Sus scrofa: one gene and its partner. Each later gene encodes a partner of the first gene's protein in a complex. Links are inferred from orthologs where the notes say so. Each region holds a gene or a part of one and is shown on either strand. Other genes may lie near its edges.

Region 1 (3,646 bases):
AGCTGTTACTGCCAGCCTACGCCAGAGCCACAGCAACTCGGGATCCGAGTCGCATCTGTGACCTACACCACAGCTCACAGCAACGCTGGATCCTTAACCCACTGAGTGAGGCCAGGGATCAACCCACAACCTCATGGTTCCTAGTTGGATTCGTTAACCACTGAGCCACGACGGGAACTCCCACTCTGCTTTTTTTACCTGCAGCCCATTAACAATGGGTAGAGGGAAAGAGCCAAAAGGTCATCACATTCTATCCTACACGCAGTACACAGCAGAGGGAAGGTCCAGTCCTCCCACGCTCCCCACGCATAAGAGATGAGGAAGAATAATTCTCTCTAAGAAGAAGCAGAGCTCAGCTAGACTGTTCAATACCTTGTGAGTAAAGTAAAGGCATCTCTAAGTTCCCCCAACAAAGCTATGGAACTTAGCAGAGATGCAGTGTGCTTAAAAATGAAAAATATATAGTTACTTTAATTCCAGATTTTTTTTTTTTTGTCTTTTTAGGGCCACACCCAAGGCATGTGGAAGTTCCCAAGCTAGGGGCCAAATCAGAACTGTAACTGCCAGCCTACACCACAGCCACAGCAACTCAGGATCTGAGCCAAGTCTGCGACCTACACCACACCTCATGGCAATGCTGGATCCTTAACCCACTGAGCAAGGCGAGGGACCAAACCCGAATCCTCGTGGATACTAGCCAGGTTCCTTACCACTGAGCCACAAGAGGAACTCCAAATTTCTAAATTTTAAAAGCATCTGTAAAGTGTCTCACAGGAACTCTAAGGGTTGAGTAATCACCCATCATCTAAATCTACTTCATGCCCATATGTGCTCAGTATTTAAAAATTACTGTTATAAGAAGTCTGAAATAAATGCATATTTCTAATGAGTGACAAAGTGGACAAAGGATTAGCTACAGGCTATGAAACAGATGAACTACAAGTGAAAAAAAAAAGAAAAATGGTTACTTACTTCATATTTATACTTCTCACCAGCTTTAGCCCTTTTCAGTCTTTCTAGAGCTTCCTGTCGCCCTTTCTTGGATTTCTTCTCTCGCCGGGATCGCGAAGCTGCAAGACTCCCTGAATCTGACATAGCTGTAGAAAAGCCAAATTTGCATGAGATGTTACAAAACTGTCAGCCATCTTCCCTCAAAAACAAAGCAATAGTTTTTAGCCAATAGTAATATACAATGTTCATGTAGTATACAATGTTCATGTTACACAAATGTATACTTTTTCCGGTGTAAATAATTTACAAGCTCAGGACTGAATCTCCAGTTCCCATGGCTCCTCAGAAATTTTCAGCTGAAGCAACAACTGTTATTTTTGTCCTCCAAAAAGAGAAAAACTCCAAATTCAACTGATATTCCCTGGAGACACTAAAGAAGGGAGATCAGTAACCTTTCCACTGGTGATGATAGCCCATAAGTAGCTATAAGAGGACAATTCATTTTGTATTCCATCAATAAACATTTGAAAGGCTTTAAGGAGCACCCTCTCTTTGCAAAGTACCAGGCGCTCTGCAAGACACAAAGGCAAGTTCGGGTCCTAGACCACCACCAATAAGGTGAGTGTCGCGATAGCAATAAAGTGAGTCACACGAATTTCTTTTTCTTTTTCTTTTTTTTTTTTGGTTTCCCAGTGCATATAAATGTTATGTTTACACTATACTGGAGTCTATTATGTGTGCAAAAGCCTTATGTCATTAAAAAAAAGTATATACCTCCATTAAAAATACTTTGTTGCTAAAAAATGCTCATCATCATTTGAGCCTTCGGTGACTTGTAGTAACATGAAAGATCACTGATCACAGACCACTCTAACAAATAATGACAAATCTGAAATGTGAGAATTACCAAAATTCGATACAGACAAATGAAGTAATAAGCAAACATCAATGTGAAAATGGCGCCAGTAGACTTGCTTCATGCGGAGGCGCCACAATCTTCAATTTGTTTAAAAAAAAAAAAAAAACCACAGTATCTGTGAACTGCAATAAAGCAAAGCACCATAAAACAAGGTAAGCCAGTAAGTAGCAACTAACTCTAAAACAATTTTTAGAAGTAAAGCATACCCTAACAAGAGGTTCAGATAAAATGTCTAGAATTTCAAAGGAAGGATAAATCAGGAGAATGTAACGAAGATGGCTCTGAGGAGATTCTTGATTCTACCACTGATTTCCAGGCTTCGAGCAGTTGGCTGCGACATTAGAGCATGACAGTCAAAAATTACAAAGATCAAGAAGTTCTCTTGTGGCACAGTGGGTTTAGGATCCAGGTGTTGTCACTGCCGTGGCTTGGGTTTGATCCCTGGCCTGGGATCTTCCACATGCTATTGGCATGGCCAAAAAAAAAAAAAAAAAAAATTACAAAGATTAAAATCTTTTGTGGAAAATTAGTGAAGTACCCGAGGGCCTCAGTGGTCATTCATTCAACTTTTGAATTATTCATGCTTTTGATCATCATAAACACATACTGAAAAGATTTCATCCACAGAATGGAGACTTTCACATACCAGCTGGCGAAAAATCAAGTCAAGCAAGACAGTGCCGCCTGGCAGCCATGAGTTGATGCTCACCACGACTGGCACATAAGTCTGAAATTGAGTGTCTTATTGTACTTGGTGCTATTATTTTATAAAAAAAAAAGAGCACAGAAAAGGGGAAGTATTGATAACAGGCATCCTAAAAGCTCCAACCCCACTGGAACGTTCATAACAACATGAAGCTGTTTGACTAAGTGTTTGAATGAAATAGAAGATGCAATTTACAGACATGTACCAAATGCTGGCAATAAACTGTTGAAAACCATATCTTAAAGGTGTGGCATAATTAGAGATCCTATTTTTTTCCCTAGCTTTCTGGAAATGGAATCTCTTTGTAACATCTCAGCCTATTGTTTGACTTTCACATTTGACTTTTAAATCCATTTTCAGAAAGGCATTAAGTAAAAATTAAAGAATGCAGGTACTTAATGCTGACAGCCACAAAATCTTGGGTGTCACTCAAATGATTTCAAAAAATTATAAGCAGGCTGACACAAAAAGGCTCCAGGAGATTACTGAACAAGACCACTGAGAGGGAAAAGTTGGCCTCAGGGTATTCCCTCAAGACGCCCTGGACTCTTTTATCAGATTATTCTGACAAAATTATTCTACAGGTCTTCAAAAAGACTTACTCCACAGGCAACAATGTGCCAGTCTAAGGGTTTGGGGTACAATGACAAGTAAGACAGAGCTGCTGGTCCTCAAGGGACTCCCAGTCAAGGAAAGCATAAAGGCCTGAGGCTCCCACCATCGTATAAAGATGGTACCATGTAAGAGGTAAGAACCTGGTATTAAGGAAGCAGAAAAGAAAGCCATTAATGTTGCCTGGGAAATCAGAGAAAGCTTCACAGGGGAGGTTTCCAACACAGAATTTCACCATCAGAATACAGAGCGACAAGCGGCACAAGCAAAGGAAAAGGCATGAGGCAAAGCACAAAGGGATGAAAATGCAAGGTGTATTCAGACAGCGAGAGGAAGCCAATGCAGAAGGAAAGTTGGACAGGAGAGCGAAGAGTGAATGGGAGGATGGGAGATTCGAAAGCAGCAGCACAACCAAGTTCTGCCATATCCTGGGTAACATGAGACCACCGGTTAAGCTC
Region 2 (4,249 bases), on another chromosome or scaffold:
ACTCCCTCTATTCTTAAATATAAGCACAAGCAAGAAATTACTGGAGGAAATTTTCCTTATCATATGAGGAAAGCCTCCAATATGAAAGAACGGGGAAAAAATAAACAAAGAAAAAGTGCAACTTTAGAGAAAACAGATGGTGTAACAAAAAAATTAAACTATTATTGATATTCTCAGGTAATATATGTCAGTGAAAAAAATACATGATGCTCTAAAAAACTTCTTGGAGATTTTAAATATAATAGCAGAAAAGGAAACCTCTGAGGAAATTCCCCAGAAAGTAGAGAAAAAGGAAATTTAAAATAGAAAAAAAAAAAAATACAATTAGAGGACATAATATCTGATTGTAGGATTTCTAGAGACCAGAGAAAATAGGTAGGAAAAATTATATTAAAAATTAAAAAAGGGAGTGCAGGAGTTCCCATCATGGCTCAACAGGTTAAGAACTGGACAGACGGAGTTCCCGTCGTGGCGCAGTGGTTAACGAATCCGACTAGGAACCATGAGGTTGCGGGTTCGGTCCCTGCCCTTGCTCAGTGGGTTAAAGATCCGGCGTTGCCGTGAGCTGTGGTGTAGGTTGCAGACGCGGCTCGGATCCTGCGTTGCTGTGGCTCTGGCGTAGGCCGGTGGCTACAGCTCCGATTCAACCCCTAGCCTGGGAACCTCCATATGCCACGGGAGCGGCCCAAGAAATAGCAACAACAACAAAAGACAAAAGACAAAAAAAAAAAAAAAAAAAAAAAAAAAAAAAATTAAAAGAACTGGACAGAGTGTCCATGTGCATGATGGTTTGATTCCTGGCCTCTTAGTGGGTTAAGGATCTGGCATTGCTGCAAGCTGCAGCATAGGTTGCAGATGCAGCTCAGGTCTGGTGTTGCTCTGACTGTGGCATGGGCCTCAGCTACAGCTCTGACTTGACCCCTGGCATATGCCATAAAGAGGAAGAAAGAAAAAAAAAAAAGGGTAGATCCCATTATGGCTCAGCAGAAACAAATCTGACTAGTATCCATGAGGACACAGGTTTGATCCCTGGCTTTGCTCAGTGGGTTAAGGATCCAGTGTTGCTGTGAGCTGTGGTGCAGTTTGCAGATGCGGCTTGGATCCTACGTTGCCATGGCTGTGGCATAGGATGGTGGCTACAGCTCCGACTGGACCCCTAGCCTGGGAACATCCATATGCCATGGGTGCAGCCCTAAAAAGACAAAAGACTAAAAAAAAAAAAAAAAAAAAAAAAAATGCAAAATACTGGGGGAAAATGGTTTACAAACTCAACCATTAGTTAAGCATAATGGTAGAATAAACACATTCTCCAGATACACAAAGTGTCAAATATCTTTTCTTTCATGGACCTTTTCTTTTCTTTTCTTTTTTTGGTTCTTGTCTTTTTGCCTTTTCTGGGGCCCGCTGTAGAGATGTAGAGATTCCCAGGCTAGGGGTCAAATTGGAGCTGTAGCCGCGGCCTACGCCAGAGCCACAGCAACGTGGGATCCCAGACTCGACTGCAATCTACACCACAGCTCATGGCAGCGCCAGATCCTTAACCTGCAGAGCAAGGCCAGGGATCAAACCTGCAACTTCATGATTCCTAGTCGGATTCATTTCTGCTGCGCCACAACGGGAACTCCCATCAAAGAACAAATTTTATTTTCACTACAATCTACTTGCAAAAACTGTTAAAGTGTGGCTCCTTAATTAGAATAAACTCTAAAAATGTATCTCAAAACGCTAGGGGCACCAATCCATTCTTGGTTTAAAAAAACAATAAACTACATAAAAAACTGATTTCTTACTCTGTGGGAATATACCGCGCCTATATCAATCTTGTATGGATTCATTTTCTGCATCTCCTTTTCCAGCTCACTCTGGTTGTTGAAAGATTGGTAGCGAATGTAAATGTCATCTTTCAACGTGAATGAAAATTCACGGTGTTGAAAGTAATTCTTTACCACTGCAAAATGAACATACATTTTAAAAGTTAGTATGGTATTTTATCCAGTTCAGAGTATTAAAACATTAACCAACAAGAAGATATCTTTCACGAACCCTCTGTACTCAACACTGTGCTACATTAAAACAAAAACCAAAACCAAGAACTAGTCCCTAATTTGAAGGAGTTCACCATCCTGCATTTAATAGGGAAAGGTAAAAATGAGGAAAAAGATGCAGAAATATTTTCATGTAGTACCACCTCTCTTTCCTAGGTGGGCACTCAAATTCAGCTGGGAAGAGTTAAGTACCTCTCCTCTTTCAGGAGATGCCCGTCTGTCCCTGATGCAGATTATGTCTCTGCAGCTTCTTGCTACAACCCAGTGGACTCCCTTGCTCCCCGCCACCTCCGCCACCTTCGCTCAGGAACCGAGAAGATTAACACTGCATCAGAGCAGGTAAACGCTGCAACGAAAGTGAGTTCAAACACAAAGTGGGAGGAGCAAAGGCTCTGTCTTTCAGTGCGTGGTGTAGACTGGTCATTACATCCCACTCTAGGCCCATTTACACCTCGGCAGTGGTGGGGAGGGCTCAAGGCAACGCACAAAGGCGCCCGACACAAGGCCTGGAACATGGAAGGCACTTCATATTGTCATTCCAAGGTACCCTCCCAGAACCTCCTCACACTCCCCCCCCACCCCGAGCCATTTCCCACCCCGCTCCCGCCTTCATCACCTCCGCCATAGTTCAGCCAGCGATAGTACTGGGCGTAGGGAAAGAGCCTCCGGTAATAAAGCTTAAGCAGCTCGGGCAGCTCGGTAGGGTCAAACGTCTCCATGAAACGCAGAACTCAACCCAGGCAGGATTAGCACGAGAATTGGCGGGAACCGCACAGTCGAGCTTCCGCAACTGCGCAGGCGCGTAGTGGCAGCGGCCAGCCATCTGCAGGGGCTGTTGGGAATTGTAGTTCTCTTTTGGAGGTTGGCTTGGGTGTGGGAGCGCTACTACGGTCTTCACTCACAGATTTAACATGTAGGTCCACTTCTCTGGTGGGTAGAAGGAAGCCGTGCTCATTGCAGGGAGATCTGCGGAAAGGTGAGCCATGGAACATATTAAGGTTATTAAGATGAAGTGAAAAAGATGTTATCTGCTAACTTTATGACTGTTTTAGAAACAACACATTTAAACAATGTTAACCAGTATCTTTTTAAAGAGGGTTTGGAAATTGGTTCTTCATAGAATAACTAGGTCCAGTATGTGGAAATAAATGATGACCAACCAAATAAGAAAAGCAAAAGCTATTCATTCAAGAGCTTGCCATGTATAGAGTCAGCCACATCACATTACATTTTGGCAAAGGCTCAAACGCAGGCAGAGGAGGGGAGAAAGCTTTGGGGGGGCAGGTTTCACTCTTTTTCTAATGCAAAGCTATTTGTTATGGGGAAGCTGTCTGTGGGCTACCTCAGAGCGGGGTATCCTATGTGACCTATGTGATAGGTTAGGGGTGCATATTTGGCTTTCTGCGGTTGGTCCTAAATTGAGAGTGGGGACAAAAATTAGGGAAGCTGTCAGTTATTAATCAAGTACTGGCTATGTTGGATGGATTGTTATGTAGGGTATTTGGCTTCCTGGAATATCACTAGAGACTTTAGTTTGATTTCCTACAAGTCTGACTTAAAGCAGCCTGACTTCTTGGGCTATTTATTATATAGATAAGGGGGTTGGTTTCCTAGGTAGGCATTGGAGAGGTTGTGGGTCAGAGTTCTGTTTTTTTATATGGTCTGGTCATCGTTTGTTTCTACATTGTCGCTTAAACAGAACACCCAGGAATACTAAAATCAGAGGAAGCTTGCAAAATCATGGAGTGCTTTACAAATTTGAAAGAAGCCTGTTTACTCTTGACATGCACATCTGCCAGTCAGTCTTACCAGGTAGATACATTTCATTACAAATGTGGACTGAGGTGGGCAGTCTGATAATCACCCCAGTGCTGTGTCATTTGAAAACCATTATTTTCACAATAATAGTAGGAAAGCAAGGAGAGTATTCTCTGCTCTCTAGTGGGTTATTATTAGCCTAATTTGAAAGTGATCATGGCCCTTCATCTTGCATAGGCAAAGTGGTCAAACTAGGCACTGGGCAGATCATACTTACTTGAGTATTCCTAGAAATACTATATAAATCTTAGCTGATTTTCACAATCCCTGTGCTTCCTGTTTTGGGTGAATCCCTTGCTGGAAAGGGATTCACTCTAATAGCACCAAGAGTGCCCTGTAGAGTTCTCTTTTGTGGAACCACACTTTTTAATAGGCTTTTTTTTTTT

Evidence for each region. The genes of interacting proteins can lie anywhere in the genome.
Region 2: the proteins of POLA1 (region 1) and PRIM1 are in contact, whole or in part, in a cryo-EM structure (PDB 7OPL), measured with the Homo sapiens proteins. The link is inferred for Sus scrofa from reciprocal best matches to the Homo sapiens genes POLA1 and PRIM1. Residues at the interface, in NP_058633.2 of Homo sapiens: Tyr439, Ala440, Pro447, Glu448, Lys449, Ser450, Phe876, Thr877, Thr878, Gln880, Leu906; in NP_000937.1 of Homo sapiens: Asn92, Thr93, Val94, Lys95, Leu96, Gly97, Ala98.

Annotation. Positions count from the first base shown.
Region 1 is NC_010461.5:20,759,594-20,763,239, reverse strand, and holds part of POLA1 (DNA polymerase alpha catalytic subunit), read right to left. Parts: intron 1,098-3,646; coding exon 973-1,097; intron 1-972. UniProt on the Homo sapiens protein: Catalytic subunit of the DNA polymerase alpha complex (also known as the alpha DNA polymerase-primase complex) which plays an essential role in the initiation of DNA synthesis.
Region 2 is NC_010447.5:22,086,598-22,090,846, forward strand, and holds the start of PRIM1 (DNA primase small subunit), read right to left. Parts: upstream 2,817-4,249; 5' UTR 2,765-2,816; coding exon of another isoform or gene 2,662-2,764; intron 2,392-2,661; 5' UTR 2,238-2,391; intron 1,949-2,237; coding exon of another isoform or gene 1,845-1,948; coding exon 1,791-1,844; intron 1-1,790. UniProt on the Homo sapiens protein: Catalytic subunit of the DNA primase complex and component of the DNA polymerase alpha complex (also known as the alpha DNA polymerase-primase complex - primosome/replisome) which play an essential role in the initiation of DNA synthesis.